Elephas maximus indicus: one gene and its partner. The protein of the gene in region 2 binds, or shares a complex with, the protein of the main gene of each other region. Links are inferred from orthologs where the notes say so. Each region holds a gene or a part of one and is shown on either strand. Other genes may lie near its edges. The genes, in order: E2F4 and LIN54.

Region 1 (14,984 bases), on a different chromosome or scaffold from region 2:
ATGCTGGGGTTGGACCACAAGGGAATTCACGCCCCAGGCTTAGGAGCTGACTTTATTCAGTGGGTCTCAGGGAGCCACTAGAGGTACTTTTGTAAACACGGGACTGTCACGGTCAGGCTTGCATTTCAGAAAGATTCTTGTGTCAGTTGTGGTAAACAGGTGGATGCTTCATATTATCTAGGTTGGAGGTGCCCGAGACCAATCCTGGGGGTTGAGGATGCAGGAAGGATGATAAGCAATGTCTGGGAAAGAACTCACTTAGCTGAGGTGGGGTTGGGAGCAGAGGGTGAAGGAAGGAGATGGAATTAGAGTGACACTCAGGTGTCAAGCCTGGGTGCCCAGGGCTAACAGTAGGGTGTTCACAGAGGCAGGAAAGCAGGTTTTGAGAAGAATGTAAGTTCAGTTGAGGGTATGTGGGAATCAAGTACTAGGGGAGACAGGCATCCAGAAGGCAAGTGCAAGTGCACAGAGACCTGGAGTTCAGGCAAAAGAGCCAGACTAGAGAGAAGTGAAGGGGTCACCCACCCAGAGCTGCAGCCCTCCCAGGGGTCGAATGGGACAGGAACCAGGGAAGTGCCAATGTTTAAGGGATTTTCAGGGAGAGACTGAGAAGAAGAAGCCAGTGAGGAAGAAGAGCCAAAAGCCAGTATCATTAAAGCCACAGAAAAAAGAAAATCAACACCACCAAGCAAGAAGGTACCCCCGAGCTGCCTGCTACATTTGGCAGTCAGGTCTTTAGCAACTTACCATGAGTGATGCTGATATAGCACTAGGGGTTGGGGGACCCTAACCCAACCTGAAAGACGACTAGGTGACAATGACATGGACCGGAGCTTACTTTTTCAAGGCATGCAGGCTGAGAAGACACACGAAAGTGTGAAGGGGGAACATAAGGGAGGATCAGGTCATTTAGTTACGAGAGAGACAGCAATGCTATGGGCTGAGGAGAATAAGTCCTGGACATAGGAGAGAGAGGACACCAGACAGATAACATCATTTCTCCTGGGAAGGCTACTGACCACCTTTGGTGCCTCAGGGCCATACCACAGCCACAGCCCCCCTTCCCCAGGGGAAGGCTTGCACTTTCCTGAGGCCGGAGTCCAAGGGGTGGCAGGCAGAGCTTGAGAAGGGGCCAGGGAGCCCTGTGCTAAACCAGGAGGGGGGACAAAACAGGTACCACCACTCACTCTAACTAGCAGAGGGCTCTAGTATCAAAGGCTGAGGTTGATGGGAGGGAGTTGGGGCTCCTGAGCTGGTAATCTCTGGCTGAGATACCAGGGCTGGATTCCAGCCCCAGTCCTGTCACTGACCCAGGCGTGGGCTGAGGCGGGGCTCTCCCTGGCCAAGGTGGGCAGGTACTCACCACCTGTGGAGTCCGCTTTGATAGGCTCAAAGGAGGTAGAAGGGTTGGATCCAGATGAACTGCTATTGCTGCTACTGTCCAGCAGGGCAGAAGACTGCAGTGGCCGGGTGTCCAGTGCTGTCGGGCCCAGAGGGAGTGAGCTGAGCTCACCACTGTCCTTGCTATCAGTTCCAGGGCCACCTCTCACTGCAACCACATCCCCCTACCCAGTCACATGGTGGGCAGAAAGCTGTGCTAGAGCCATGGCCATTCCAGGCCCAAGGAGAATTAGGCACTGCCAGTCCCCCAGAAGTGGTAACCTGGAAATGAGTTACTGGAGACAGGTGTGAGGCCTGCACAAGGGAGACTCATGGACAACATGGCTGCTATGGCCACACTTCAAGTGGGGCGGCCAGGGCAGTGAAGCACAGGTGCACCTGGGGGAAACTGCCACCACGAATGCCCCTTCAAGCAGTTTCCCTGTTAAAAAGGGCTTGTTCACTGTCACAGCAAGGGGAGGCAGGGTGGGAGCCAGGAAAAGGCTCTCATCCAGCTCTGCGTATGGCATTCCACAACACAGAGGTACTGCCTCTAGCGTCCCAGAAGGTAACCCCATCACCAGCTGCTCCTCATGCCTCACCTGTGCTCTCAGCTACTGGGCCGGCCACCCCCTGGGCCTCGACGCTGCTGGGGACAGGGGCAGGCATGGCCAGCTGGGGACTGCTTGGGCGTGAGGCTTCCTGAGGCTGGGCCAGGGTAGGCTTGGGCAGAGGCGGAGGAGTAGAGACAGCAGGTGGGCCCTGGAGCAGATCTTCCGGTGGTGGTACAGGCACGGCCACAGGTGGTGAGCTCCATGCCTCCTTGTTCACCAGCAGCACCTCAATGGGCCCACTCACACTCTTCAGGTGAATCTGGTACTTCTTCTGCCCATTGAGGCCCTGGAAGTGGAGGTGAGGGAGAAGTAGAGTTGGGAACAGGCTTGTTTCCTGCCTGACCTTGGGCCAGGGCACAGTATCCTCTCCCACCCCAGGCTGCCCGTCCTCCTAGATAACCCCAAACCCCAGGCCTCCCCCCGAACTGCCCCACCCGGGACTTATCAGGCCCCGCAGTCAGCACCCGCCCTCCACCAACCCCGCCTGTCTGGGCTAAGCACCCACCTCTGGGATGGGCACCTCCAGGCTGGTGCCTGACGGGGCCCGGATGGCCAGGAGGGTATCTCCTAGAATGACAAGGGTGCTAGTCAATGCCATGGGCTCGGCCTGAGCTGGAATGGGGGTGCTGCCCCTTGGAACAAGGCAGGAGATCATGGTCTCTGAGGGGCTAGATAGGAGTCCTCCCTCATCCCCCACAGTAGCTGGGGCAGAGAGCTAAAGGTTTACTCTCCCCGAGAGCCCAGGGGTCAGTAATCAGGAAATCTGTGTTCAAATTCATGGAGCAAAAGATCACTGCTCATGGGCACCTCGCTGCTCAACTGATGGGGCTGCTCCCAAGGTATAGGGTTTCTGGTCAAGGACAATGTCTCTTCCTCAGAACCAGCCTGGGGGGTGCAAGATGGAGAAGGAATAGCTCCTGTATCCACAACGCAACTAAACTACAGGTTGGAAGTAGATGCCACTGTTACCTACACATAAGCACACCTATGCACACATGCTCTTTCTTTCTCCTTTATCTCTCTTTCTCCCTCCCTCCACAGTGCCTGAGAAGCCAAGCCCAAGGGACAGTATAGACGGGGGCAGACCCAGGGACCCAGCCCCAGATCCTATGCCTGCTCAGTATAGCTGGCCTCCACAGGGTCCCAGTGAACCCTCGAAACCAGGACTTACCCACATTTGGTTCCTTTTTGGGCAGGCCCCAGGAGCCCTCCTAAGAGATGCAGCTCTCCTTGGACACTGAGCCCAATGTTCAGGGCTGTGGCTCAGCTCAGTCCCACCCCCAATCCCTCTACCCAGGCTCTGCTCACCAGCAAAGCATCTGCAGATGTCCTCGTGAGTCACGTAGGCCAAGGTGTGGGGGTTAAGGAGAACGGCCAGTGCCCTGCCTATGGTGACAGATGGCAGACCACAGAGAGGACCCAGCTCTTTAGCAGAAGTCTGACACACGAGCCCTCAGAGAAAGTCCTGGAGCCTGGGTTCCACGTGGGGAGGAATAAAAGGCGAACACTGGAAGCAGAGGAGCTCTGAGAAGGGAGCCCGAGGCTGGGGCTGCAGGGCCATCCTCCCAAGAAGGACAAAGCCCAGGGCACCAAAGAGCAAACCCTGCTGGACCAGGTGGCCCCTCACCCACTCCCCCAGAGCAGGGACCGCCAGGAGGATATTAGCTGTTCTGCACGTCCTCTGTGACATTCCGGATGCTCTGCTGCACCCACACCTTGTGCTGGTCCAGTTCTTGTTCCCGCTGCTGCAGCTCCTCGATCTCTGCCTTGAGCTCAATCAGCTTATCCGCAATCTCCCGGGTATTGCAGCCAGGACCCACGCCCCTGAGTCCACAGAGTCGGGCTGAGAGGCTGCCAGGCACTCTAAGTCCCATGGCACCTGCTCTCTCCTGCACCTCTCCCTCGCCCCACATCCCTGGCACTTCTGGCTAGAAAACCCCACTACTCTCTCAGATGCCCCCACTCACTTCCACTGGATGCTGTTCTTGGATTTTTTCTCGATCAGCCCGATACCCTCCAGTACATTAGTAATATCGTAAATCCGCCGCTTCTGGCGCACAGCTAGGGTGTCAGCTGCCTGACAGACAGAACAGAACAGAGGATGCTCAGCCCCACTCCCAAGTGCACCCGAGCCATCTACCCACGTACACACAAACTCCCACGGTGTCTGTCGGGACAGCGGGCGTCAAGCTACCCTGCGACGTGGTCTGGGAAGGGGGCTGCCTTTGTCCAAACCCTCCACTCAAGCACTACAGCAACCCAGGACCGTGGGGCAGGAAGAGGCCTGGTAAAGCCCTGAAATAATGTTTAGATGCGCTTCTCCGCCAAGTCAGGAGGGCCACGAGGGCCAGCACCTGCAGCCCCGCGCCTGACAAATAGCTGGCGCCCAATGCCGTCTACCAAATGAATGAAACGGCTTCCGGTCTTCTTCCTTTGCGAAGGCACACGGATGGCGGCTTGCTCTCTGAGAGGTCAGCCGGGCCGCCCCGGGGGTTCCCGCTCAGGACCCAGGCCTGTTCCACCAACCCCTCCGTCACCCCCTTAGCCCGGGCCGCACCAGCTTGAGGTCAAGCACGCCGTCCTTGGCCTCCTGCAGAAGAGACACGAACTTGGTGGTGAGAAGTCCCAGGCTCTTCTCGTGCCGGCTTGGGGTTCCTGGGGGCGGCGGCGCCTGTGGCCCGGCCTCCGCCATCGCGCCAGCCCGCCGCCTCCCCTCAGCCAGGCCAGGCCGGCGCCGCCGCCACTTCCGCTTCCGTTCCTGGGCGCCCGGCCGCCGGCGCCAGTGTCGCTGCTTCCGCTTCCGCCCTGCGCCCTTCCAGGGAACCCGGCGCAATTCCTCTCTGCGGGCACCGCCGCAAAACTCGAGGGACCATTAGCAAATGTCCAACCGCCGAGGAGGACGAAAACCCTCCGGGGATCCAAAGTGCAAGACATTCTGGGGAGGGATGTGGAAGAGGTCAGGGGCGGCCCCGGCAGTACAGAAGAGGGAGCCACCGGAAACTTCCTTGTCAACCTGCTCCAACACCACTAACTCCGCCACAGCCCCCATCTCCAGAGAGGAGACAACACTGCCTGATGACCCCAACGGGTTCTCCTAGACTTGCTCCTAGAGGCTACCCCACTGTCTTGAGGTCACGCACCCGTATTACTGTCCCTCACTTCCTGCCAAAGAGGAAGCACTAACTACATCTAGCCCTTCTACTTCAATCCATGCTCCCAGCCTCATGTCTCTCTTACTTCCACACAGTAGAGCTCAAAGGGCCAGTCGCTGCCACAGCATTGTAACCACTTTTCAGCCAATGCAAACATGTTTACCTATGCAAAGCGTGCAAAGCAGTTCCTGGCATGCAGGAAAGGATTCTGTGTTTGCTAGTATCCTTTTATTATTTTCAACATTGTTAATTTTTATTGTTTATTTTAGGTCAAGGTTTCTGGGAAACAGACTTTGAGAAGGGGATTTGCCTGTAAGAAGCTTATTGGAGATCCACACTTGTAAGGGATTTAAGACAAGCAGAATTGGGCAGGGAAGGAGTTAAACTGTGGCACAGTTATAATAGAGGGCTCAGCCCATCCTACTAGAAGCTCTGAAGCTGGGAGGTCATTCAAAGGCATTCCAGAGTCAGGCAAGGGGCCCAGGCCTTTGTACCCCAACATTAACTGAGAGACTCAGCTGTGAGACCTGAGCAGACTTCACTCCTGGCAGCTGCGGGAAGGGGTAAATGGGTGGTGCACCACAGCACCCATGACATTACTACTCCCCTGAAGTCCCCTCCATGGCTCCCTATAGCACTGAAGACTCCAGCTCTTCAACACAGCTTTCGTGGCCTTTCCGTGACCCCCCTCTCACCTTCACTCACCAATCACCCTCTTCACAACAGCCTGTGGCCTCTCACTCTTCTGCAGAGGTACACACCTTCCTCTGAGGGACTCACCAACACACTTCATACTGTGTGGTAGTCCGTGCACACCCAGCCCCAGTCCGGTTTGGGACTGTGTCCAGGGCACTAAGAGGTACCGCCACGGACTGGTTAGGACTCCATGTACACCCCCCACCCCCAGCCCTCTGGGAAGTGGTGCTCAACCCTCCCCACCCCACCTCGCATTCAGATGTTCTTTCCTGTTGGGAATAAAGTGCCAGAGACTCAGCTTCCTTCCGTTCTGCCTGTGGCCTTGGGGAGGAGGGGCCTCACGGGAGGAGGGGGGCTCCTGGGCTGCAAGTGGGGAGAGAGGCTTCCTTGAGGAGAGGAAGTCTGTTGTGTACCCAGGAGTGGACTGGGAGTGAAGGGAGTGACCAGCTCTGCCACAGGGCTGGGGGAGAGGGCCATCCTCAAGGCCAAGGCTGTCTGTGGAGGAGGGAGAACTGGGCGCCTGGTCAAGCCTGGTGGGTTGCACACCAAACTGACCTCTAAAACTCAGAGTAGGAGCAGGGCCCAGTGGAGACCTGTGCCTACCCTACAGGGGACACAACTGAGAAACCCAGTGGGTGAAGGCCTCCCAGGTACCTCCCCCACCACACCCACCTTCCTTTCATTTCCTGAGGGACTGGACACAAACTTCCCTCCTTCTTGGAGGGGCCTGAACAGCGGCTGCAGCTCCAAGGAGCGTCCATTCTATCTGCTGTAACCTAGCTCCTCGCCTCCACTCCCAGCTCAGCTCTGGCTCCTCCAGGGCCTGCCATGGACCCAGCAGCCAAGGACAACAAGGAGTCTGCACATCCCCCTGGTAGGAGCCCCTCTGGGTGGGCTGAGGAGGGATGACGGCAAGGAGGACAGGAATGATGGGGTTGGTCCTGTAAGGCAAGCCTGGTTGGAGCTCAATAGGGCAGTGAAAAGAGTGGACTGGGGGACAGGGAAAGGGGAGCAGTTTCGGCGGCGGCTTCCTGCAGGCCCTGCTGGACTGACTGATGATTAACGCTGCTGCCACCCAGGCTCTTCCTGCCCTGGGCCTGAGTGGCCAGAGCAGGAAAGGGCGGAACGCCTGGCCCGGGGTGCCGCACTGAAGTGGGCCTCAGGCATCTTCTACCGGCCAGAGCAGCTGGCCAGGCTGGGCCAGTACCGGAGCCGTGAGGTGCAGCGCACCTCCTCCCTGGAAGCACGCATCAAGGTGGGCATCAGGCAGGGGCTGGAGTGTTGGGGGTGGGCTGCGGCCAGCCAGGCCTCACTGGATGCCTCCCTTCTACAGTCGGTGGTGCAATCGTACCTGAAGGGTGTGCAGACTGGTGTGTGGCAGCTGGCCCAGGCCCTTGAGGCTGTGCAGGGAGCCCGGGAGAGCCTAGGCGAGGCCCATAGGTTGTTCAGGAGCATGGCTGAGGCTGCGCTGACCCTAGAGCCCCTGCAGGAGCGGGTTGCCCAACACAAGCAACTGCAGGCCCTGTCTCAGCTCTTGCCTCGGCTTCGAGCAGGTGAGTGTACAGGGGCCCCAGGCTTCAGCCTGCCAGCAGTCAGTCAACAAACATCCACTGATCAAGGGGCTGGGTCACCAGGTGGGGATTGCATGAAGGGACACACCTGGGACCTCCCAGAGAGTAGCTGAGGCTTCAAATGACATATGAAGCTGGATACAAAGGTACCTCATCCTGGGGTTTCCCAGCATGGGATGTCTGAAACAGGACTAACTCCCGGTCAAGTGACTCTGGCCACCCTGATTGTTAATATATTGAAATATTTCCCTAATAGCCTGGGTGAATAGCCACTAGCATAGCTCCCCAGTTCTTCCTGACTTGTTTCCGGGATCCCTGACTTCCTCATGTTCCATCAGCTCAAGGGTTGACACTTGGCCCACTGGGCCTCTAGGACCTTGCCTGTGTTCTGTCAGATTGGGCAATGCTCTACTGTACTGGTTATTAAGTATCTTACACATCCCTGCAGGCCCAGGGCCTCAGTATCCACCACTGGACCCATTCACAGGTAGGAAAGCTGACACCCAAGGTTGTCTCCTCTTCCTTAGTACCAGCTGCAGTGGCCCACACGCAGACCCTGATTGATGCCCAGCGGCTCCTGGAGGCATATGTGAGCCTGTGGGAGTTGGAACAGCTTCGAGAGAACACAAGGGTAGCCCTGGGGGGCCTGGAATTACCAGCCTTTGAGGGGCTGGGCCCTCTGACTGAGGCACTGGGCTGGGCTGTGGAGGTGGCAGCAGGGACTGCAGGGCAGCTGGCACGGGAGGACCCAGCCTTGCTGGTGGCTGCTGTGCGTGTGGCCGAGGTGGAAGCTGGGCGCACAGGCCCCCTTGGGCAACACCCCCAGGACTGGCGGCAGCGCTTTCTGCGGGCACTACAGGAGGGTCTGGAGCGGGTCTACTTTGGGACATCTCTGCTGCCTGGGCCAGGGGCCCTAGCAGAATGGCTGGAAACTCTGCGTGTGGCACTGCCAGCCGAGTTGGCTACAGCTGAGGCACTGGTAGCGCCCTGCTGTCCGCCGAACTACAAGGTGGTCCAACTCTGGGCCCATACCCTACACAGCGGCCTGCGCCGCAGCCTGCAGCAACTCCTCACAGGTCCTGAACTGAGAGCTGCTGATGCCTTCACCCTGCTGCACTGGGCACAGCATGTGTACCTGGGGTCAGTGACCTGGGAACAGTGGGAAGTGGGTGGATTGGAGGCTGGGGCTCCATGTGACACCTGCCACCTATCTCCAGGCCAGAAATGATGGGAAGCCTTGAGTTGGGGCCTGACGCTGATGTGTCCCAGCTGGAGCCCTTGCTGACCCTGGAGAATGTCGAGCAGCTAGAGGCAACATTTGTAGCCAAAGTCCAGGTGAATGGTCCAGGCACAGGTGCAGAGCAGCTCTGCCCACCAGCTACAGGCTTTTATGTGCAGAGTCACACAGAGATCTCTCATTTGTCACATGCCTGCCTGTCTCTGGCAGGGTCAGTGCCCCACTACATCCTGCTGCCCCTCACTCTTTCCCCCAGGCAAGTGTGGCCCAGTGGCTGCAGAAGGCACTGGATGGGGAGGTAGCTGAGTGGGGCTTGGAAAAGGAGCCAGACACAGACCCATCTGGCTTTTACCACTCACCGATGCCGGCCATTGTGCTGCAGGTGAGTGGGAAGTGGCCAGGCAGGTGGGCAGCCCCCATGGGGAAAGGGGAGGGGCAGGGCTAGGGGCTCTGCTGATGGCTGCCCATCCCTGCCTCTAGATCCTGGATGAGAACATCCGTGTGACCAGCGTGGTCAGCAAGTCACTGCAGCAGCGGGTGCATGGCATGGCAGTGTCAGAACTGGGTGCATTCTTGAGGAGGTCCGCCAAGACGCTGACCCACTCCCAACCCCTGGTCCTGCTCCCAGGGCATCCAAAGGGGCTTTAAGTGAATAAGGCACACCAGTGAGAACGGGATCCTTCAAACTGGGCCTTGGTGTTTTGGAGGTGGGGCAAGATGACCAGAGGCTGAGGCTGTGAGAGGAGTCACCGTGTGGCTTGAAAACCCTATGTAGCAGTTCTATTCTTCACACATTGAGTCGGCATTGACTCTATGACAATTACTAACAACAATAGGGTTGTGGGAGCACCAGAGTGACAATGGCACCACCTCTGCCCACTGCAGCTTCAGCGATGCTCTGATCCGATTCTCCCGAGACCACCTCAGGGGCGAAGCAATAGCTCCTCATTATGTGTCCTACCTACTGGCCACACTCAACCACCACACAGCACTCAGGTATGGGGCTTACATGGACCGCACTTCACTAACCCTGACTGAGCACCTATTTGTATGTAACTAGTCCATACCAGTCCATACCAGGCCATTAGGGACTTTGGACTCACATAGTTCCAGGTTCCAATCCTAGTTCTGTATATTACTGTCTGTATGATCTTAGACATGTTACCTAATCTCTCTGAATCTCATTTTTCTCATTACTATTATCTGGGTATAATGGGATGTTCTGAGAATCACGTGAGATAACATGTAAAGTACCTACCACAGTGCCTGGCAATAAATATTATAAATATTATCAAGGCCCTACTCTGTGCCAGATAATGTTTGGGGTTACAGCTGTGAGAAACAGGGAATTCCCTTCCTCTTGGATCTTATGTTCTGGGGGAGGGGTGAGGGGACAGGGGAGGACAGATAAAAAAGCTGATGATTTTTACTCACTCCTGCCTGGGACTAACTCGCTCACCTTAAAAAAAACAAAAACCAAACCCAGTGCCGTCGAGTCGATTCTGACTCATAGCGACCCTATAGGACAGAGTAGAACTGCCCCATAGAGTTTCCAAGGAGCGTCTGGCGGATTCGAACTGCCTACCCTACGCCACCAGGGTTTCCTCCCTCACCTTACGGATGAGCAAATAGGAGCCTAAAGACATGCTTTGCTTAAGGTCACACAGCGAATTAACGACAGGTCCGACTGGGGCTGTGTCGGTTCTAGCTCTCTGACCCAACTCCCAGTCTCAGACCTTCCGAAATGCAAGGAGCAGCCCTTCTCATCCCCAGCTGCCACACACACGCACCACTAGGTGGCGTTAGGGTAGTTGGACCACGAAGAGCCGTGAGGGCCTTGGCCTTGGTCCTGAAGACAAATTTTTGGTTCGTCTAGGCCGTCTGTTCGAATCCACCAGGCGCTCTTTGAAACCCTATGGAGCAGATATACTCTGTCCTACAGGGTCGCTATCAGTCGGAATCGACTCGACGGCAACGGTTTTTTGTTTTTTTTTTTTTTGGTTCTAGGTCGTCCGTGTCTGTCCTTCACCTCGATGGGATGGCTTCTGTGGCCTTGGCTCGGGTGGAAGCTGCGCTGGACGAGCTGCAGAGGAGGATCTGCCGCCTGGTGCTGGAGGCCCTGCTAGCGGAGCTCCAGGTGAGGCTTCAGGTGGGGGTTGGAGGTGGAGTGACAATGTACGTGTGGAGGCCTCTGCTGGGAATGCAGGGTCTGGATCATTCCCCCAGCGCCGTCTTTGTCCTCCCCCAGCCCCTGTTCTCAAGTCTGCCCTCGCGCTGGTGGCTGTCGAGCCCAGAGCTGCTGGATGGTGTGTGCGAGCGGACTGCGAACTTCTGCCGGGACTTCCGGCGCGTGCGGAGCCCGGCAGTCCAGGTGCGTTGGGAGGGAGGGCATGGGGAGAAGCCGATGGGAAAAGCAACCTGGACCTGCCTGATCGCCCTCGCCGCAGCTGCTGCTGGCTGAGGCGGAGCGCACCGTGGTGCTGCAGTACCTGCGCGCACTGATGCAGGGCCGCTTAGTGTGCCGTGGTGCAGACGAGCGGACCCAGGCCGCCGAGCGCCTGCGGCATGATGCCACCCAGCTCCGGGAGCTCTTTCTTGGTTTGGTAAGAGCTCAGCGGAGAGACAGACGGGCGGGGTCTCAGTGGTGAGGTGTAGGCCGAGGGCCGCCACGAAATCCTACCCCACGTGAGCAGGGCCTGGAGGAGAGCGTGCAGTGCGCGCCAGTGCTGCTCGCCCTGCGGGAGCTGCTGAACCTGCACGACCCCACGCTGCTTGGCCTCGAGGTGGCCGGCTTGCGGCAACAATTTCCCGACGTGAGGTGCGGAGACTCCAGGCGGGGAGGGAGGAGGAGCCCGGGAGGGGCGGGCAGGGCGGAGCTGACTCGCCCCTCTGGTGCTCTGCAGCGAGGACCACGTCTCAGCCCTCCTGGACCTGCGCGGGGACGTGTCCCGAGAGCAGCGGCTGGCCGCACTCAGCTCCTTACAGGCCGTCCCGCCGCCCTCGCCTCCTGCTGGTCACCGCGCACTCTTCAGCCTAGTGCCGGCGCCTACACCCGCACCGTCCTACTGCCTTCCCTCGGGATCCTGCGCCTGATGCTCGGCTGCCTGCAGAATAAAGCCAACGGCTTCCGGGCCTCTGGCTCTGTGTGTCTGGGGGAAGGAGGGGTGAAATAAAAGTGTCCGCAAAGGTTAGGGGTTATGCACAGTATGGTATGGTACCTTGGTTCCCACCCTGCTACACAGACTGCGATCCCATGTATCCAGACTCGGCGTGGTATGCAAGTACCGTCCTCGCCCGCGTATCCGCGCCCCCCAAAAAAACCTAAGCCCGCTCCCATCGAGTCGATTCCAACTCATAGCGGCCCTACAGGACAGGGTAGAACTGCCCCATAAAGTTTCCGAGGAGCGCCCGGCGAATTCCTACTGCTGACCTCTTGGTTGGCAGCCGTAGCACTATGCCACCAGGGTTTCCCGTAATCGCGCAGGGGAGTGAACTAGTGTCTGGACGCCCGTGTTTTGGCTGTCGGATTGCCCCCGAAGCCCTGAGACCCTCCTGGCCCACGTAGAGGGGCCGGGCCTAAGACGAGTCCCCGCCCAAGAGTGTGACCCGAGAAGGACACCACCCCCTCTGCCCTGCCTGGCCCCGCCCCCGGCTGTGGTCTCCGGCGCGCGCCGCCGCGGAGACTGACGCGAACCCGCGCGCCATCCTGTGAGCGTGCGCGCGCCCGGGTGGTGCGTCAGAGGTGTTGGCTCCCTCGGGCTGGGCTGCAGGCGACGGGCGCTACGGAACGGGAACGGCGGCGACGAGTAAAGGGGCGAACAGGTTGGGACGCGGCGCGCGAATGGGACCCCCGGGAGGCAGAGAAGGCGAGCGACGCGACTCCGCTATCTACTAAGGAACCCCCTCCATTGTCCTCCAGCCCCGCCCTCCATTGGCACACCCTTCACCCCATCCCCCGCCGCTTATTGGCCGCTGGGCACGCCCCTCCTCCATCTCTCCGTTTCCATTGGCCCTTCTTCCACATTACCCTCTCGGGTCTCTTACTAGTGCAGGCCACACCCTCTCATTTGTCACCAGACCCCGCCTTCAATAATCTAGGGCTCCTCCCCCATCCTTTCGTTCATTTATCTGCGCCTAGTGCTGGGTGCTGGAGACCTGGGGCCAGATGAGACCCGTTACTGCCCTCGGGGAGTTGGAATGGTGGGGGGACACAGACCCAGGCTCCGACAGTGACAGCCTAGGGCGGTAGAGAAGCCGCCTAGGCACTGGGGAAACTATGTGCTGGGAAGACTTCCCGAAAGAGGTGAGGCCTGAACCAAGCCCTGAAGGATGCTCCAGGGCGGCACTGGGAGGGCATTCCTGGCGGAAGGACCTGAGACATGAAAGAAACACAGGCATATTCTGGTGATTGCGAGGAGGTAGGTTGAATGAAAGAAGGGGAGATGGAGAGGACTGGCTCAGGTAAAAGCCCAGAGACCAGTGAGGAGCCTGGGAAAGTGTCCAGTTAGTTGAGGAGAGTGAATCCTGAGGCCTGAAGCTTTTTCGAGCGGCTGGGCACTTCTCGAGGAGGAAGACTGAATCTAGATGGGGAAACAAAGTGCAGGGAAGGAATGATTCCAGATCTGAGAAGAGCTCTTTGGTTCACTCAGCTGCTCTGGATCAGGCACTGTTTGGGATCCTGAAGATTTTCAAGAGGAAACAGATAGCTAACAGTCAAATATGCTGTACTTCAGATGGTGATAACTGCTGTGGAGAACAATAAGGGAGGGAAGGAGAGGTGGTGGTGGAGAGGGGAGAGGAAGTTTACTGTATAGGGGTGTGTTAGGGAAGGCTCTTCTAATACAATGTTATTTTGAGATGCACCTTATGCAGTCAAGCACAGATGTTGAACTGAGAACTGGCAGCACTGGTCTGAAGTTTATGGACAAAGCCTAGGCTGACATATTTAAAGCCATGAGAGTGGGTGGCATCACCTAGGTGTTGTTGTGTGCCATCAAGTCAATTCCGACTCATAGCGACCCTATAGAACAGAGTAGAACTGCCCCAAAGGGTTTTCTAGTCTATAATCTTTATGGGGAAACCCTGGTGGCATAGTGGTTAAGAGTTCAGCTGCTAACCAAAAGGTTGGCAGTTCAAATCCACCAGGCATTCCTTGGAAGCCCTATGGGGCAGTTCTACTCTGTCCTATAGGGTGGCTATGAGTCGGAATTGACTCCACAGCGCCTAACAACAACACAACAATAATCTTTACGGGAGCAGATTACCAGGGCTTTTCTCCTGCGGAGCTGCTGATGGATTCAAACCACCAACCTTTCAGTTAGCAGCTGAGCACTTAACTATTGGGCCACCAGGACTCCTTTATGAGCTGGGTTGTTGTTGTTAGGTGCTCTCGAGTTGGTTCCGACTCATAGCAACCCTGTGCACAACAGAATGAAACACTGCCTAGTCCTGCATCATCCTTACAATCATTGTTATGCTTGAGCCCATTGTTGCAGCCACTATGTCAGTCCACCTCGTTGAGGGTCTTCCTTTTTTCTCCTGACCCTCGACTCTACCAAGCATGATGTCCTTCTCCAGGGTCTGATCCCTCCTGACAACATGTCCAAAGTATGTAAGACACAGTCTCGCCATCCTTGCTTCTGAGGACCATTCTGATTGTACTTCTTCCAAGACAGATTTGTTCATTCTTTTGGCAGGCCATGGCATATTCAATATTCTTCACCAACACTACAAGTCAAAGGCCTCAATTCTTCTTCCATCTTCCTTATTCATTGTCCAGCTTTCACATGCATATGATGGGATTGAAAATATCATGGCTTGGGTCAGGCCCCCTTAGTCTTCAAGGTGACATCTTTGCTTTTCAACACTTAAAAGAGGTCCTTTGCAGCATAAGGGGACAAGAGGGAAAATCTTCTGTAGACAAGCCCTGGGACATTTCTGTGTTAAGAGGTTGGGAAGTAGGGATGAATCAGCAAGGGAAACCAAGGCGGAGAACCAAGGTAGACTGCTCAAGAAGCCAAGTGAGAAAGTGTTTCCAGGAGGACATGATTAACCATGTCAAGTGCTGGTGACCGATATGAAGATCATTAGTGTCCTCGTTCAGATCAATTTTGATGGAGAGTGGGGAACAAAACCCTAATTGGTGTGAATTTATGACAGAACAGGAAAAAAAGAATTGGAGACTGAGTACAGACAACTCTTGAGGAACAGCTGGAGGGAGAAGTAATGGGGCAGTAGGTGGAGGAGTATAGGGTCAAGCAAGGGTATTGTTTTGTTTTTTGAAATGGAGAAATAATGGCATGTGTTTATGCTGATGGAAATAATCCAGTAGAGA
Region 2 (15,274 bases):
GACCTTTTCCAGTTTTGCTTTATTGGCCATGACTATACTGGTTCAAACCTGTTGGAAGCTCTGATTGTAATTCAAGTGTAAGTTCCTTTCCTCTTTATCTAAATTAGCTTTTCCTCTGATTTCTCTCTTTTTTTTCTTTAACAGCACTCAATATTTCATCAAACACCAAGGTTTATGATCTTGTCATCTTTGATGTCTCTCTCTCCATAGAAATAATTAATCTGTCATATATTGTGCAAATTACCCTTTCATAACTGTCTCCTCCCCAAGGCAACCAAGAGCTGCCAAGTCTGCAAAGCTTGAAGCCTTGCTGTGGCATGCCCTGAGTCAATTCTGACTCAAAGTGACCCTATTGGACAGAGCAGACTGCCCCATAAGGTTTCCTAGGCTGAAATTTTTATGGAAGCTGATCACCAGGTCTTTTCTCCCAGGATGTGGGTGGTGGGTTCAAATCGCCAACCTTCTGGTTAACCACCAAGCGCTTAACCATTGCACCATCAATGTAGAAGGCCTTGAGAGTTAACAGAAAATTTCTGATTGACAGCCTCAGAGACTAGAGTATTTTTACCTCCATCTACTCTCACCTACAATTCATCCTACACAACAGCTACAGAATATATCTCCCTAGAGTGCATCTCTGAGGCTGTCACTCTCCTCAAAAATTTTCTATAACTCTCAAGGCCTTCTGCATTAGGCCCTATCCAACCATCCAAATTTACCTCCAGTGATTCCTAAACTGGAAGCTCTCTTGATGCAGTAATATTCAGGTTATTTTATCCCTGAGGCTTAGTATAGTATGTGAGACATAACAGACACCCAAAAGAAGTACCTGAAGGAAGTAATGAAAATCTGTAACATTTTTCCAAAAAGAAAAAAAAGATCCCAGACTATCTCCAGTGGCATGAATCTTCCTTCATTTTTTCCTAGCACAGCTTCAGTTATTAATAAGTAGACAATTGTTCTAACCACAATAATTCTGAGAACTGGCTTTAAAGACAATCACAAAAAATCACAAAAATAACCCTGTGATTAAAAGAAAACCAATAAAAAGGGATTTTAATCTTTTATTTTAGTTATTTTTAAAATTCTTAATCTTGCTACTAATTTAACAGTTGGGTTGTTATGGCCCAAATAATTGTACCATAAATGCTGTAAAATAAAAACAAATTCCTAATGGATAATCCAAGAGCATCAGACAAATGATTTTTAAAACTTCATTAACTAGATCTAAAGTATCTCTCAGGTACTTCCCCTAATTTTTTTTTTCTGTCCTTTATTCTTTTAGTGGTGAGAAGCCAAATGTGCAAGCTATACACACAAAAAACAATTATACTCTGAATACAAAATATATGATATTGTATGACATAGCTATGGCATCATCTCTTCGTAGGCAATTTGAGGATAAGGAAAATTATTCACTGCTAATTATAAACATTACCAGTAGGCATGTCTTGAATATTTACCTCTCTGTTCACTTTTCATATACTCAGAGTCACTAACTCAACCTTCTCCCACAAGAGCTGGGGGGAAAAAAACAGGGCCCCAAGTTAATGTATAAAAATTTGATTCACATGTTACTTTTCAAGGACACTACTGTTGTGTGTTGAGGATTACAGTATGCCTGACCCAAGCTGTGGTATTTTCAATCACCTCATATGCACAATGAATAAGGAAGACTGAAGAAGAATTCACTCATGTGAATTATGGTATTGGAGAAGAATACTGAATATACTATGGACTGCTAAAAAAACTAACAAATCCGTCTTAGAAGTACAGACATAATGCTGCTTAGAAGCAAGGATGGCGAGACTTTGTCTTACGTACTTTGGACATGCTATCTGGAGGGACCAATACTTGGAGAAGGACATCATGCTTGGTAGAGGGTCAGTGAAAAAGAGGAAGACCCTCAACAAGATGGACTGACACAGTGGCTGCAACAGTGGGCTCAAACAACAACGATTGTGAGAATGCTGCAGGACTAGGCAATGTTTCGTTTTGTTGTACACAGGGTCGCTGTGAGTCAGAACCAACTCCACAGCACCGAATGACAACTGTTGTGTGCAAGAAGACAGACTCATTAGAGATCTCGCACAATAATCTAATACATACATGTGTCTTTAGATAACCTACAATATGAAGCTATGAGTCAGAACTGACTCGACAGCAATGAGTTTGGCTTTTATTTTTTTGGTCATAAAGTCAGTCAATGCAATTCTCAACTCTCTACACAAAGGACTAACAAGTCCAGTATTTAGAATAGAACTGAGGTCTCAATTTATCTATGTACTGACTTAATGTACTCACATCAAATGCTTGCATCAAGCCAAAGGAGATGGTACCTCAACAATAATCGCAATTCCCCTTCTTAACAATGAAGGTAAAAATAAGGGACTAATAGAATTCCCAGAGCTGTATTTCACTTGGATTATAAAATGTACTGTAAAAACTTTTATTCTCTGACTTCATGAAATGGATGGGGCTAGGAAAGAATTTCTCTGAAAAACACGGGTATGAAATATGACTGACAGTATCTCAATTGTTACTTGCCAAATAGCAGGGGCAAAGCGGGTCACTCTATGGGAGAAAGAGCCATTAAAAAAATAAAAAAGACAACATTTTTAATTGTTAGAAAACTGGTCTGGTCCATATGCTTAAATGTGACCGTCCATACCCCAACAAGTTATAGACTATGACCTAACACACAGATCTAAAATGCAGAATAAAATGCCAATGCTCAGCCTCCTTAAAGAAACGTACAACTCCATAAACTGCTAAACATCATCTGGTGTTGACCAACCAGAGTGGATAGGTTAACTATTAAATCAAGAAATCAAGATATTTGCTAGCGGTTCCTTTAGGCCTCGGCAGCAGCCTTAGGTATAAGAGCAAATTTGAGCCTTCTTAACACCCAAAGAATACTGTTGATGTCATTATGAGGCTACTGATTCTTTGCACTACAGACAAGTCATTAGTTGATCCACAACACAAATGTCCCCTCCCCCCCCAAGAAGAGATTTCAAGGCAGAGAGGCCCTCGGGTACCCCTTCTTCTCTACCTCCAGCGGCTGCCGCTTTCTCCTCCCTCCGGCTCCAAGGTGGGGGCTCCAGAAGGTCCCGGGCAATTCCGAGCCCGGGCGGTGCTTGTTTTGCCTCTGCCAGATAGCTCGGGCCAGCCGCTTCCTTTCTCAGTTTGCCCAAACTGGAGCGCTACAGGGTACCCAGAGACCGGTAAGGGAGCCGTGTGGCGACGCCGCCGCAGCCGCCGCCTCTGGTATGTCAGGGGCCGGGATTGTATTTCGAAAGATCCGCCATTTTCACCTCGTCATCACCATCACAGCTCAGCAGCTTCCCCGACAGCCCCAGCCCGGGCCGCCGCCGCCGCCGCCAGTCACCTCCCCCTTCCTCCTCCTCCCCTCCCAGGTCCTCCCCTCCCGAAAAGCACACACCCACATATCCGGGGAAACCTCCCGCCGGCCCCGCCAACCTTCAAATGCACACGGGAGACACAAATGTACACACAGCCTACGCAAAGACCTTTCACCCCAGAACGAAAAATGGTGCTCCTGCCAGCCCCGCAGAGCTGCGAAAGGAAGCCCCGCCATCTGCGGGGTCCCAAGTCAGGCATATTTTTATTTGAAGAGCAAACGCAATGCGGAGGGTGGCATAAAGACAGTAAGGGATCTAAACTCTTTCATTTTCGGAAAAACAACTGGAGACAGATGATGGAATGCGTTTCACTATGTCCGTATCAGACACTGAAGACATTATCGAGACCTTTAACGTCACTCACCTACTCTTGACATTTTACTCCACCGTCAGAACTACCTTGACAGAATGAGTTATTTCCATATGCCTGTTTGACCTCTCTGATACCTGCTTTTTAAATTACAGGTACTGATCCTCATGTAACTACTGTGGTCAAAACAGTTTTTTTTTTTTTTTAAATAAAGATTTCAACACACAGTCTGACAAACAGACTCCAAACTACTTTCCTCTTCACTTAATTTTATCTGATAATTTCTGTCCAGGAACATCGTGACTTTCGATTTGTCATTAGTTTAAGACGTCAAAGTGCAACTAAGCTTAAAATGTATTGATTCAATTATGGAAATAAATGCATGAATGATCAATTTCTAAAAATATAGAAAATATAGCTCTAAACTAAAATTCTTTGTCAAACTTTTTTAGGATCCAAGTCACCAAATTAAAAAACCATCTGCCGCTGACATATTTGTTCAATACAGTGAAAATAAACAGCTTGCTTTGGAACAAGACCCCAGAGTTACCACCCACCCCCACTAGCGCCTCCCATCATGCAGTTTCATAAGTAACTAAAACAGAACATAGACAGGTATTTTTTTAATCATCTTAGAAGTAACAAGAAAGCATAGGCTACAGGGCTTCTAATGAAACGAGCATAAAAAAAGAAAACTAAACTGACCACCTTCGTCAATTTCAGGAAAAATTTGGTAATCATCCATTCAAAGGCTGAAATTCATACCATTCAACTACAACCTAAGATCTAGAAGACCTATCTGAAACGAGTAAATTGAAATTTAGGGTTGAAAATTAGGCCACTCTACTACCTTTTTTAAAAGTTCGTTTAAGAAAAGTGAGGTAGATGTTGAATAAATCATTTCATTTCCCTACCTTGCTTGCATGGCAACTCCGTATAAAAGTCGGTAGATTCCAGCTTCAACAAGTGCTGTCCACCAACCCAGCCCAATCGCCGTTTTTAATACGCAGCCTGCTAGACGCTGAGAGTGTAAAGTCTCCCTAGTTTCTTTATCTTTAAACTTTATGGCCCCACCGGCTGTCCGGGCCACCCGCACTCCGCTTGGTTGTTTACCGTTGCCTGGCCAAGCTGAGTCCCAGTCTGCTCCCTTCCCCCATGCACCTCGGGAACATTATGACATTTGGCTGGTGGGCTTCGCGAGGAAAACGGACACACAGGAAGAAGGTGGCATACAAAGGAGCATAGGAAGAATGGGGTGGCGGGCAGCAGAGAAAGGAGGGGCCGGTACAAAATGACACAGCAGCAAAACTGGTTCCCAGAAACCCGGGGCCGACACGGCCGGCTTCTCTAGCCGCGCTGTGTCAACAGCCACCGGAGCCCTTCCTCCAGGCTGCCGGGAACGGTAGCCGGCCGGTTGAGTGCCGGCCCTGCCGGGTGACAGCCGCCCTCCTGGGCGCCGGCGGAAAGGGGCTGAGACCCGAGGACCCTTCCGCAGGGATGGGGCGCCGCGGCCCACAGCCGGCAAGTTCCCGCTCCCCGCCCGGGCTCTCAGAGGGGGCGGTCCGGCGCCCTTCGCCCCCGCCGTTTCCCGCAGCCGGGGCCGGCGCTCCCTTCCCGCCCTCCGGCTCAAAAGCCCCCATCTCGGGGGCTGACGCTCACCAAAGCCGGCGGCGCCGCCGCCTCCTCCTCGCGCCGCGCTCCCTGGGCTCCCAGTAGCCGCGGCGGCGGCGGCGCCTCCGAGACACAGACCCGGGTTTGTTCAAAATCACGCGCCCAGCGCCATTCCACCGCCGCATCCCATAATACGCTGGGCCCTCCCCGCCCGCGCGCCCCTCTTCGCCCGCCCCTCCACTTCGTCCGCCCCGCCTTCCCGGTCGGCTTCCTTCGCCCCGCCCCTTCCGCGAAGCCTGGCCCCGCCCCTTGGCAACCCAAGGTCGCGTCATTCCGCAAGGCGCCGTGAGTACGCTCCAACTCCACGTGACTCCAAGTGGTTTCTCTGTCAAATCTTTCGCATGGAATGTTCCATCAGGCTGCGGTTGGGAGGGGAAGGTCAGGGTTTGTGCCAGCTGTTGGAAGAGACTCCCTCTTTTTCTAGCTTTCCTTGTAAGGAAGTCCGTGATGTAGGTGCGATTTCCAGCATCTTGCCACTTTTTGATGTGCTTGGGGGAGAATGGGGAGGATCAATATTTACAAATGCCAAATCTCGTCGTTTTTTCAGTACTAATTTTTCAGAGATCGATAAAAAGCCGCAGAGACACTACACAGACTTAAAGTTATTTCGAAAGGAACTTTTTGCTTTTTTGCAGTATATGGCTAAGATTAACACGATCAAAATTCTTCGTATTCATTCACCTTTCCCTTTTATTTTTCTCGGTACCCCTTATTATAAAAGAAAAAATACCCAAATTTGGAGTCTGATAATCAAACAGGGACTGAGCGATTATTCAGTTAATAACTGCTCGGTGTGAGACAAGAAGCACACAGATGAAACAGTAGAAAACACGAGAGTGTAATGAAATGTTAAATGTTGTGGTACAGTCTATATAACTACTCCTGGGGCATGTAGTACGCACAGGGCAAAGTGACAGGCAGTAGACAGGGAACACAATGGAGGAGGTGAGACACGTAGTGGAAGCAGCAATCACTTTGGCATCAAGCAATCTTGGTTTAAATTCTGGCGCCTCAACTTTTTAGTGTATCATGTTCATCAAGTTTCTTTTCCCAGCCATAAAATATAAATAACAAAACTTCCCAGGATTCTGAGGGTATTCTGAGGTATGTCAAACAGCTACACAGTCCTGTGTCAGATGTTAATTCCTTTTCTACCACAGTCACCACCACCCTATACCACCCATCCCAAACTCAATTTTTAGGATTTAGCAAGACCAGTGGCATGAACTTAGCAAAGGCCTGGAAGTGGGAAGATCTGTGGCAAGTGCAAGAAATGTAAGAAAGTTGAATGATACACAGGCGTGGTTGGGAATCAACAGTAAGGTAAGCTCAGTTTATGAGGAACCTTCAAAGCTAGTGAGAAAAGCTTCATGATCACAGACATTATTAAACATTTTTCAGGGTGTCCTTGCTAAATGCAATTAAATAAGAAAAATAAGAGGTATAAATACTGAAAAAAAAAAGAGATAAATGATCCACATTAAAAGTAATCACAAAGAGCTCAGTGTTATTTTAAGTTCATGGCCTTGGGTGCTAGACCAATTGGGCCCTGTCTTAGTTACCTAGTGCTGCTATAACAGAAATACCACAAGTGGATGGCTTTAACAAAGAGAAATTTACTCTCTCACAGTCTAGGCTAGAAGTCCTAATTGAGGGTGCCAGCTCCAGGGAAGGGCTTTCTTTCTCTGTTGGTTCTGGGGGAAGGTCCCTGTCATCAGTCTTCCCCTGGCCTAGGAGCTTCTCAGAGCAGGGACCCTGGGTCCAAAAGATACACCCCGCTCCTACTGCTTCTTTCTTAGTGGTATGAGATCCCTCTCTCTGCTTGCTTCTCTTTCCTTTTATCTCTTGTAAGATAAAAGGTGATACAGGCCACACCCCAGGGAAGGTCTCCTTAGGTCATATCAGGAATGTGACCTGAGTAAGGGTGTCCTATCCTACCCTAATCCTCTTTAACACATGCTAATCTTTCCTCATTAACCACAAGAAGAAACTGGGATTTACAACACATAGCAAAATCACATCAGGTCACAAAATGGTGGACAACCACACAATACTGGAAATCATGGCCTAACCAAGTTGATACACATTTTGGGGAAGACTGAATTCAATCTGTAACAGGGCCAAATCCTGTCCCTGTCACTTAATAGCTCTGTGAAGTTAGGCAAGTTACTTTCCTCTTGTTTAAGTTTTTTCCTCTCTAAATTGGGAATAATACATATATCATTAGGTTGTTGTGAAGATTTATGAGGTAATATGTGTAAAAAACTTAGAATAGTGCCTGGCATATAGTAAGCATTCACTGACTGAAAGCTATTAATCAAAACTACAATACAGTCTAAAATATAATCTTCTACTTTATCAAAGAAAGCATTTTAGCTCCTAAGAGTCACTGCTATTCAAACATCTATATTGCAAAAGAAAAAAAAAAAAAAGAAGAAGTACAAAATGGCATCACATACTTTAGGAGAGAGTGGTTAATACAGCAAGGGAATGTAGAGTGTAATATGGTTGCAATTTTGGAGTCAGGGATTTTTTTTTTTTTCCATATTTTTGATCTTGCAACAAAGTGGTTACTCAATCTCCCCAATTAATAAAACTAAACATTTTGCTTAGACAAAAAAAAAAATCTGTATTTCAAAAGAGACACTTAGCTGTATATTTACATGGATGGCTTTTTCAAATTGTCTAAGAACATTTATTTAGCAAACATTTCTTGATTGTTGAATCCCAGGCAGTGTGCTAGAGACTAGGAACACAGTAAACGAGACAGTACAGCTCTGTCCAGTGGAACTTTCTGTAATGGTGGAAATGTTCTACATCTACACTATCTGATACAGCCACCACTGGATACATGTAGCTATCAAGCACTTGAAATGTGGCTAATGCAACTGAGGAACTACGTTATTAATTATTTTTACGTAAACTAATTTTAAGTTAAATAACCATGTGTACCTAATGACTACCATATTGGACAACACAGTTCTAGAGGAAGTGGCAAACTATAAACAAGTTGAAAAAAAAACTGAAATATTTAAATAAATAAATACAAGCGGTTTCTGAAGATAATATCGATACAAAAAGAATAATAAAAAGATTGTAGTATGGAGATGTGAAGTGGTGAAAACTATCAAAAAATAAAAGTAAAATTTATTTTTAAGTCCTATAATAAAACAGGTAGACAAAAAAAAAAAAACACCAAACCCAGCGGCATCGAGTCGATTCTGACTCATAGCGACCCTATAGGGCAGAGTAGAACTGTCCCATAGAGTTTCCAAGGAGCGCCTGGCAGACTTGAACTGCCAACCCTTTGGTTAGCAGCGTACGCCACCAGGGTTTCCACCAGGTAGACTGCCAGGTACAAAGTATGCCAATACCAGTTGCAGTTGAGTTGATTTTGACTCATGGTGATCCCACGTGTGTCAGCATAGAATTGTACTCCCTAGGGCTTTCAATGGCTGACTTTTCAGAAAGAGATCGCCAGGTCTTTCTCCTGGGACAACTCTAGCTGGACTCAAACCTCTAACCTTTTGGTTAGCAACTGAGTCCACTAACTGTTTGCACCACCCAGGGACTCCACCAAGTACACTAGTGAATAAAACTTTCTTAAAAACAGGCTAGTTTCCAAAAGAGTATTCACAAAGTTCATATGTTTATTAGTCCATGTTGTTAGAAGTCCAGTATGTCTTTATGCAAGCAAACAACTTGTGTACATCTATAAAAGAGTAATTTTCATCTTTATTTCTTTTTCATCATTATTTATCTCTTTTTACAACAGACCTATAATCTCTTATCAAAAATTTTAAAATCCAAAATGTTTTGAAAACTGAAAGGGTTTTGGAAGCTATGGCAAACTCATTGGGCAGGAAAACCTGGGCCAATATTACATAAGGCTATTCATATACTTTATACTTGGTGTAAATATTCTTATGCATCAGTGCAGAAGTATGAAGGTGTTTGACTATAGAATATTTCACTAGAAACCACTAGGAGTGGTCTTAAAAATGGTATAGCCAAAAGGTGTTCGTGGGAACTTTCTGGAGTGATAGGAATTTTTTTTTTAACTTTGATTTTGGTAGTAGATACATGAGGGTAGACATTGGTCTAAATTCACTGGGTCCATTTAAAATGGATGCATTTTATTGTAAGTAAATTATACCCCATGAGCATTGTTTTAAAAGAGAAAAACACTGGAGTCTGAAAAATGGTTGGTGCATATTCTTTTCTAAAGTCCAAAATATCCTGAATTCCAAAATACATCTGGTCTTAAGAATTTCAAATAAGGAATATGGGATTGTGGCACTTTCAACACACCCAAATTTTTGCACTTATGGTACATGATGTGGTTAATGATATCAAATGACTGAAACAACAAAATCAATCACTTAAGTTATCTGTTGGTTGCAGACAGAGTTTATTTACTTTTCCTCTGGTAAATAGATTTCTTTGCATCTCTGATAGTTGGTTTTTTTTTTTTTGCTTATTTGTTTAATTAAAAGGGTGGAAATAAAAGATCCTCTGTAATGTTCTGATATACTTGTTCTGCTAGGGATATAATCATCCCTGTGGTTAGGAGACGGGGTTTCCTCTCGAAGGAAGTATAGTACCAGTGTCAGTCATTTTGAGAAGAGGCACATCTTGGGATAGGGCATGAAATCTTGAAAGAGGGTCTCAATATTGGGGAATGAGGAAAGTACTTCCTCTCTTTGGGCCTTGTTCATTTGGACCTGGTCACAAAGATTTTAATGTGTTTGAAGGAGTGTGCCCACTTTTTGCCCAATAAGAGAAAGAAGACATCTCCCCCTCAAGCTATTAGAAACTGGGTAGAGTTTTTATGGAAAAACATCTTAAAATTCTCCTTAGTGTACAACCACAAGCATTTTTTTATATTTATTTTTTAATTTTACTTTAGAAGAAGTTTTACAGAGCAAACTAGTTTCCTGTTAAACAATCAATACACATATTGTTTTGTGACGTTGGTTGTTGACTCCATGACAGGTCAACACTGTTCCTTCTCAACCTTGGGTTCCCCATTACCAGCTTTCCTGTCCCCTCCTGCCTTCTTGTCCTTGCCCCTGGGCTGGTGTGCCCATTGAGTCTCATTTTGTACTTCTTTTTATCAGCAGGTTAAATCTGTGCCCCAGCAGATTTCTCATTATAATACATTGCCAGACCTGGGCCATATATCTCTCCGTAAACCACTCACTAGCAAAAGGGAATGGAATTACACAAATGGCATAGAGCAGAGATCGAAAATGAGACTCACAGGTTAAATCCAGCCCATGGTCTGTTTTTGTAAGCCCGTAAGCTGAGTTGTTTTTTTTTTTTTTTTTTAATGTGTTTATAGGATTGCTAAAAGATTGTTAAAAGAAGAGTAAGAAGAAAAGTATATATCAAAGACCATATGTGGCCCACAAAGTTTAAGATATTTATTATTTGACTCATTACAGAACAAGTGACAGACCCCTGGCCTGGACCTATCATGACTCATCTTGGGGAATGAGGAAAGGTCCTACCTTCCCTGAGTACACTACCAATGTTGAGTCTGCTGCATCATGTATTTGTAATTTCCTTCCTTCTTTTTTTTCCCAACCATTAAGTAAAATCTTAGCAACCATTGCTATCTGGTCCCATTATTTACCACTGCTGAGGTAAACTAAGGGGAGGATGAATATTCACATGTGTGTCAAAATGTTAAGGGAGAGCAGTCCCATTAATTTCCGTTTTATGGGGTCAACAGTGTTTAATGAATAATCCCCAAGGGGAAGGCAAGCCTCAAGGGAAAAGCATCAAGATGTAAGAACCAGACATCTTCTCTTCCACTGCCAACATGCCAAGCTACTGAGTTCTGAATGGCATAATTTGTGGCTAGACGTCTCTTTTAATTCTTGTCTTTTTTCTTCTTTACATAAAGTGTCTTTTTTCTCTGCCTACCTTTGAGATTTTATCTTTGGTTTTCAGCAGTTGAATATTATCTTTCTAGGTGTCTATTTCATCTTTTTTTCCCCCAATTTTTATTGTTTTATAAAATAACAAGAGAAAGGGCCATGCAGATGAAAATAATTGGACAAACAGTGCTGTACAGGCCAGAAAGGTGATGGTGCCAAAGCAGCTGATGTTTGGCAGGTGTTTCATATTTTTAGGAGCTCTCTAAGTTTCCCTGGACGTATGATTTGACATCTTTCAAAATTTTGGAAAATTCTCAGTAATTATCATCCGCTCCACCGCTCCTCTGTCAGTTTGTCATAGTGTGGTGGCTTGTGTGTTGCTGGAAGCTATGCCACTGGTATTTCAAATACAAGCAGGGTCACCCCTGGTGGGCAGGTTTCAGCAAAGCTTCCAGGCTAAGACATACTGGGAAGAAGGAGCTGGTGATCTACTTCTGAAAAAATTGGCCAGTAAAAGCCTTATAAACAGTAGCAGAACATTGTCTGATATAGTGCTGGAAGATGAGCCCCTTAGGTTTTGGAAGGCACTCAAAAACAATTGAGGAAGAGCTGCCTCCTCAAAGTAGAGTTGACCTTAGTGATGTATTTTAATTCAATCCATGACAATTGATATCCTAGAAAATTTGTGATCTGAAATGGACTGGTATTGGCCATTTTAAATCAGACATATGGTTTTCTATGCCAGGAATGACAAATTGAAGATCCCATTATGGAACTGATCACATATAAACACTGAGAATCATGGTCCAGCCAAGTTGACAAACAATCTTAACCATTGAAGCCACCTTCCCCAGTGAAATCATTAGCCCCTTCATCACCATACGCTGTGTCTGAAGAGCCTTTGTCTGAGCTACCCCCTGGGGAGGTGTCTGATTCATCGCCTGGGGCATCGCCTGAGGCAGGTGCCTTACAAGACATTGCTGAATGTTCTCAGAACACACCCCCACCACCCATTTTTACTTCTAGCTATAATTAGACTTAAGTCCCAGTGAGCCCCAAAAGATGAAGTACAAAGTGTGACTCAGGAGGAGGTACACTGTACTTCAAAAGAGCTGCTTGAGTTTTCTAACATGTATGATCAGAAACCTGGGGAATATGTGTGGGAATGACTATTAAGAGTGTGAGATAATGGTGCAAGGAACATAAAGTTGGATCAGTCTGAGTTCATTGATATAAGCCCACTAAGCACAGATTCTTCATTTAATGTTTCAGTTTGAGAGGATGGGAAAGGATTTAATAGTTTATTTGGTTGGTTCGCTGAAGCAAAAAATATGTGGTAACCCACACTAAATCAAGTTGAAGTACTAGACCTGCCTTGGTATACTATAGAAGAAGGAATACAAAGGCTTAGGGAAATTGGCATGTTACAGTGGATTTATCAGGTTAGACCCACAGACCCACACATGGAGTTCTCAGAGGACACACCTTGTGCCAGAACAGTGAGGAACAAATTTGTGAAGGGAGCCACAGCGTCCTTAAAGACAGCTGTGATTGCTATTTTATGTAAACCAAATTCGACAGTGGAAATTGCCCTAATTGAATTAAGACATCTAACTACAAAGGGGCTGATTGGACCTCATGGTGGTAGGGGCCAAGAGGCAGCACTCAATTAATAAAGGCAAAGTGGGCACAGTTACCATAATGCACAGTGGAATCAAAGCAGTAATCAGAGTAGTCTGACTTGTATGGCCTTATGCTGTTAACTACTTAGTCATGGTGTCATTAGGAGTGAAATAAATCATAAATCTACTAAATACTTGATTTGTACAAGCAGAAGACTTCTAGGTCAAGTGAATGGCAGTGTAACTTGAATTGCCAGAACAGAAGGTCATGGCCCTTCATTCAGTTTCCAGACTTGAGCCAGTTTACAGACCCACAACTCCTTGAATGAGGGAGGGGGAGGCCGGATCCCTTTGAGGATGGACGCCACTACACTACCAAAAACTTACACCATTAATCTTTCTCCCAACCTTCTCCAAAGGTATCTACAGCCTTTTCTGAGAGTGACAGTTCATTGGAGAAAAGGAAATAATCAGACTTCTTGGGGATTACTAGATAGTGGCTCTGAACTGATGCTCATTCCAGGAAACACAAAACATCACTGTGGTCTACCAGTCATAGTAGGGGTATATGAAGGTCAGGGTATTAATGGAGTGTTAGTTCAGATTTGCCTAAAGGGTCCAGTGGGTCTCTGAACTCATCTCGTAGTGATTTCCCCAGTTCCAGAACACATAACTGGAATAGATATACTCAGCAACTGGTAGAACATCCACATTCTATCCCTGACGAATGGAGTAAGGACTTTCATGGTAGGAAAAACCAAGTGGAAGAACTGCCCCTACCTAGGAAAATAGTAAACCAAAATCAATACTGCATTCCAGGAGGGATTGCAGAGATTATTGCCGCCACCAAGAACTTGAAGGATGCAGGGGTTGTGATTCCCACCACATCCCCATTCAACTCGCCTATTTGGCCTGTACAAAAAAACACATGGATCTTGGAGAATGACAGTGGAATATCAAAAACTTAACCAGGTGGTGACTCCAATTGCATCAGCTGTCCCAGATGTGGTTTCATTGCTTGAGCAAATTAAGACATCTCCTAGTACCTGGTATGCAGCTATTGATCTGGCTAATGCCTTTTTCTCCATACTTGTTTTGAAGGACCATCAGAAGCAGTTTGCTGTCAACTGGCAAGGCCAGCAATATACCTTCAGTTGCCTACCTCAGGGCTACATCAACTCTCCAGCCCTATGTCATAATTTAGTTTGCAGAGACCTTGATCGCCTTTCCCTTCCACAAGACATCACACTGGTCCATTACATTGATGACATTATGTGGACTGGACCTAGTAAGGAAGAAGTGTCCCTGACTCTGAACTTATTGATAAAACATTTTCATGCTAGTGATTGGGAACTTAATCCCACAAAAACTCAGGTGTCTTCTGCCTCAGTGAAATTTCTTGGGGTTCAGTGGTGTGGAGCATGTTCAGATATTCCTTCTAAAGTGAGGGGTAAGTTATTGTATCTTGTTGCTCCCACAATTAAAAAGGGGGCACCATGCCTAGTGGGCCTCTGGATTTTTAAGGCAGCATATCCCTAATTTAGGTGTGCACTGTGGCCTATTTATCAAGTGACTCGAAAATATGCTAGTTTTGAATTGTAGCCAGACCAAGAGAAGGCTCTGCAACAGGTTCAGGCTGCTGTGCAAGCCACTCTGCCACTTGGGCCATATGATCCAGCTGACCCAATGGTGCTTGAAGTGTCAGTGGAAGGTATAGATGCTGTCTGGAGTCTTTGGCTGGTCCCTATTGGTGAATCAGAATGCAGACCTTTAGGATTTTGCAGCAAAGCCCTGCCATCTTCTGCAGATAACTATTCTCCTTTCGTGAAACAGTTTTTGGCTTGTTACTGGGTCTTAGAAGAGACTGAATGCTTAATAATGTGCCACCAAGTCATGATGCAGCCTGAACTGCCCATTAGGAACTATCTGTTGTCTGACCCATAGAGTCATAAAGTTGGATTGCACAACAGCACTCCATCATTAAATGGAAGTGGTATATACAAGATTAAGCTTGAGCAGGACTTGAAAGATAAAGTAAGTTGCACGAAGAAGTAGCTCAAATGCCTATGGTGCCCTCTCCCAAGTATGCACCTTTGGCCTCATGGAGCGTTCCTTAAGGTCACTTGACTGAGGAAGAGAAAACTCATGCATGGTTTACAGATGGCTCTGTGCAATATGCCAGCACCACTTGAAACTGGACAGCAGCAGCACTACAACACCTTTCTGGGACCTCCTTGAACAACAGTAATGGATGGAAATCCGCCCAATGGGCAGAACTTAGAGCAGTGCACCTGATTGTCCACTTTGCTTGGAAGGAGAAATGGTCACATGTGTGATTGTATACAGATTCATGGGCTGTGG

Evidence for each region.
Region 1: LIN54 (region 2) and E2F4 share a complex: the UniProt entries of both Homo sapiens proteins name them as parts of the DREAM complex. The link is inferred for Elephas maximus indicus from reciprocal best matches to the Homo sapiens genes LIN54 and E2F4.

What each region holds. Positions count from the first base shown.
Region 1 is NC_064839.1:33,592,371-33,607,354, reverse strand, and holds the start of E2F4 (transcription factor E2F4), read right to left. Parts: upstream 6,019-14,984; 5' UTR 5,852-6,018; intron 4,930-5,851; 5' UTR 4,687-4,929; coding exon 4,552-4,686; intron 4,072-4,551; coding exon 3,962-4,071; intron 3,819-3,961; coding exon 3,657-3,818; intron 3,347-3,656; coding exon 3,303-3,346; intron 2,562-3,302; coding exon 2,500-2,561; intron 2,281-2,499; coding exon 1,983-2,280; intron 1,481-1,982; coding exon 1,364-1,480; intron 1,148-1,363; coding exon 906-1,147; 3' UTR 1-905. Other genes in the region: EXOC3L1 (exocyst complex component 3-like protein), read left to right, coding at 6,671-6,716, 6,922-7,097, 7,176-7,395, 7,941-8,553, 8,631-8,748, 8,907-9,032, 9,131-9,231, 9,536-9,646 and 5 more. UniProt on the Homo sapiens protein: Transcription activator that binds DNA cooperatively with DP proteins through the E2 recognition site, 5'-TTTC[CG]CGC-3' found in the promoter region of a number of genes whose products are involved in cell cycle regulation or in DNA replication.
Region 2 is NC_064823.1:73,307,218-73,322,491, reverse strand, and holds the start of LIN54 (protein lin-54 homolog), read right to left. Parts: upstream 5,479-15,274; 5' UTR 5,395-5,478; intron 3,376-5,394; exon of another isoform or gene 3,056-3,375; intron 1-3,055. UniProt on the Homo sapiens protein: Component of the DREAM complex, a multiprotein complex that can both act as a transcription activator or repressor depending on the context. In G0 phase, the complex binds to more than 800 promoters and is required for repression of E2F target genes.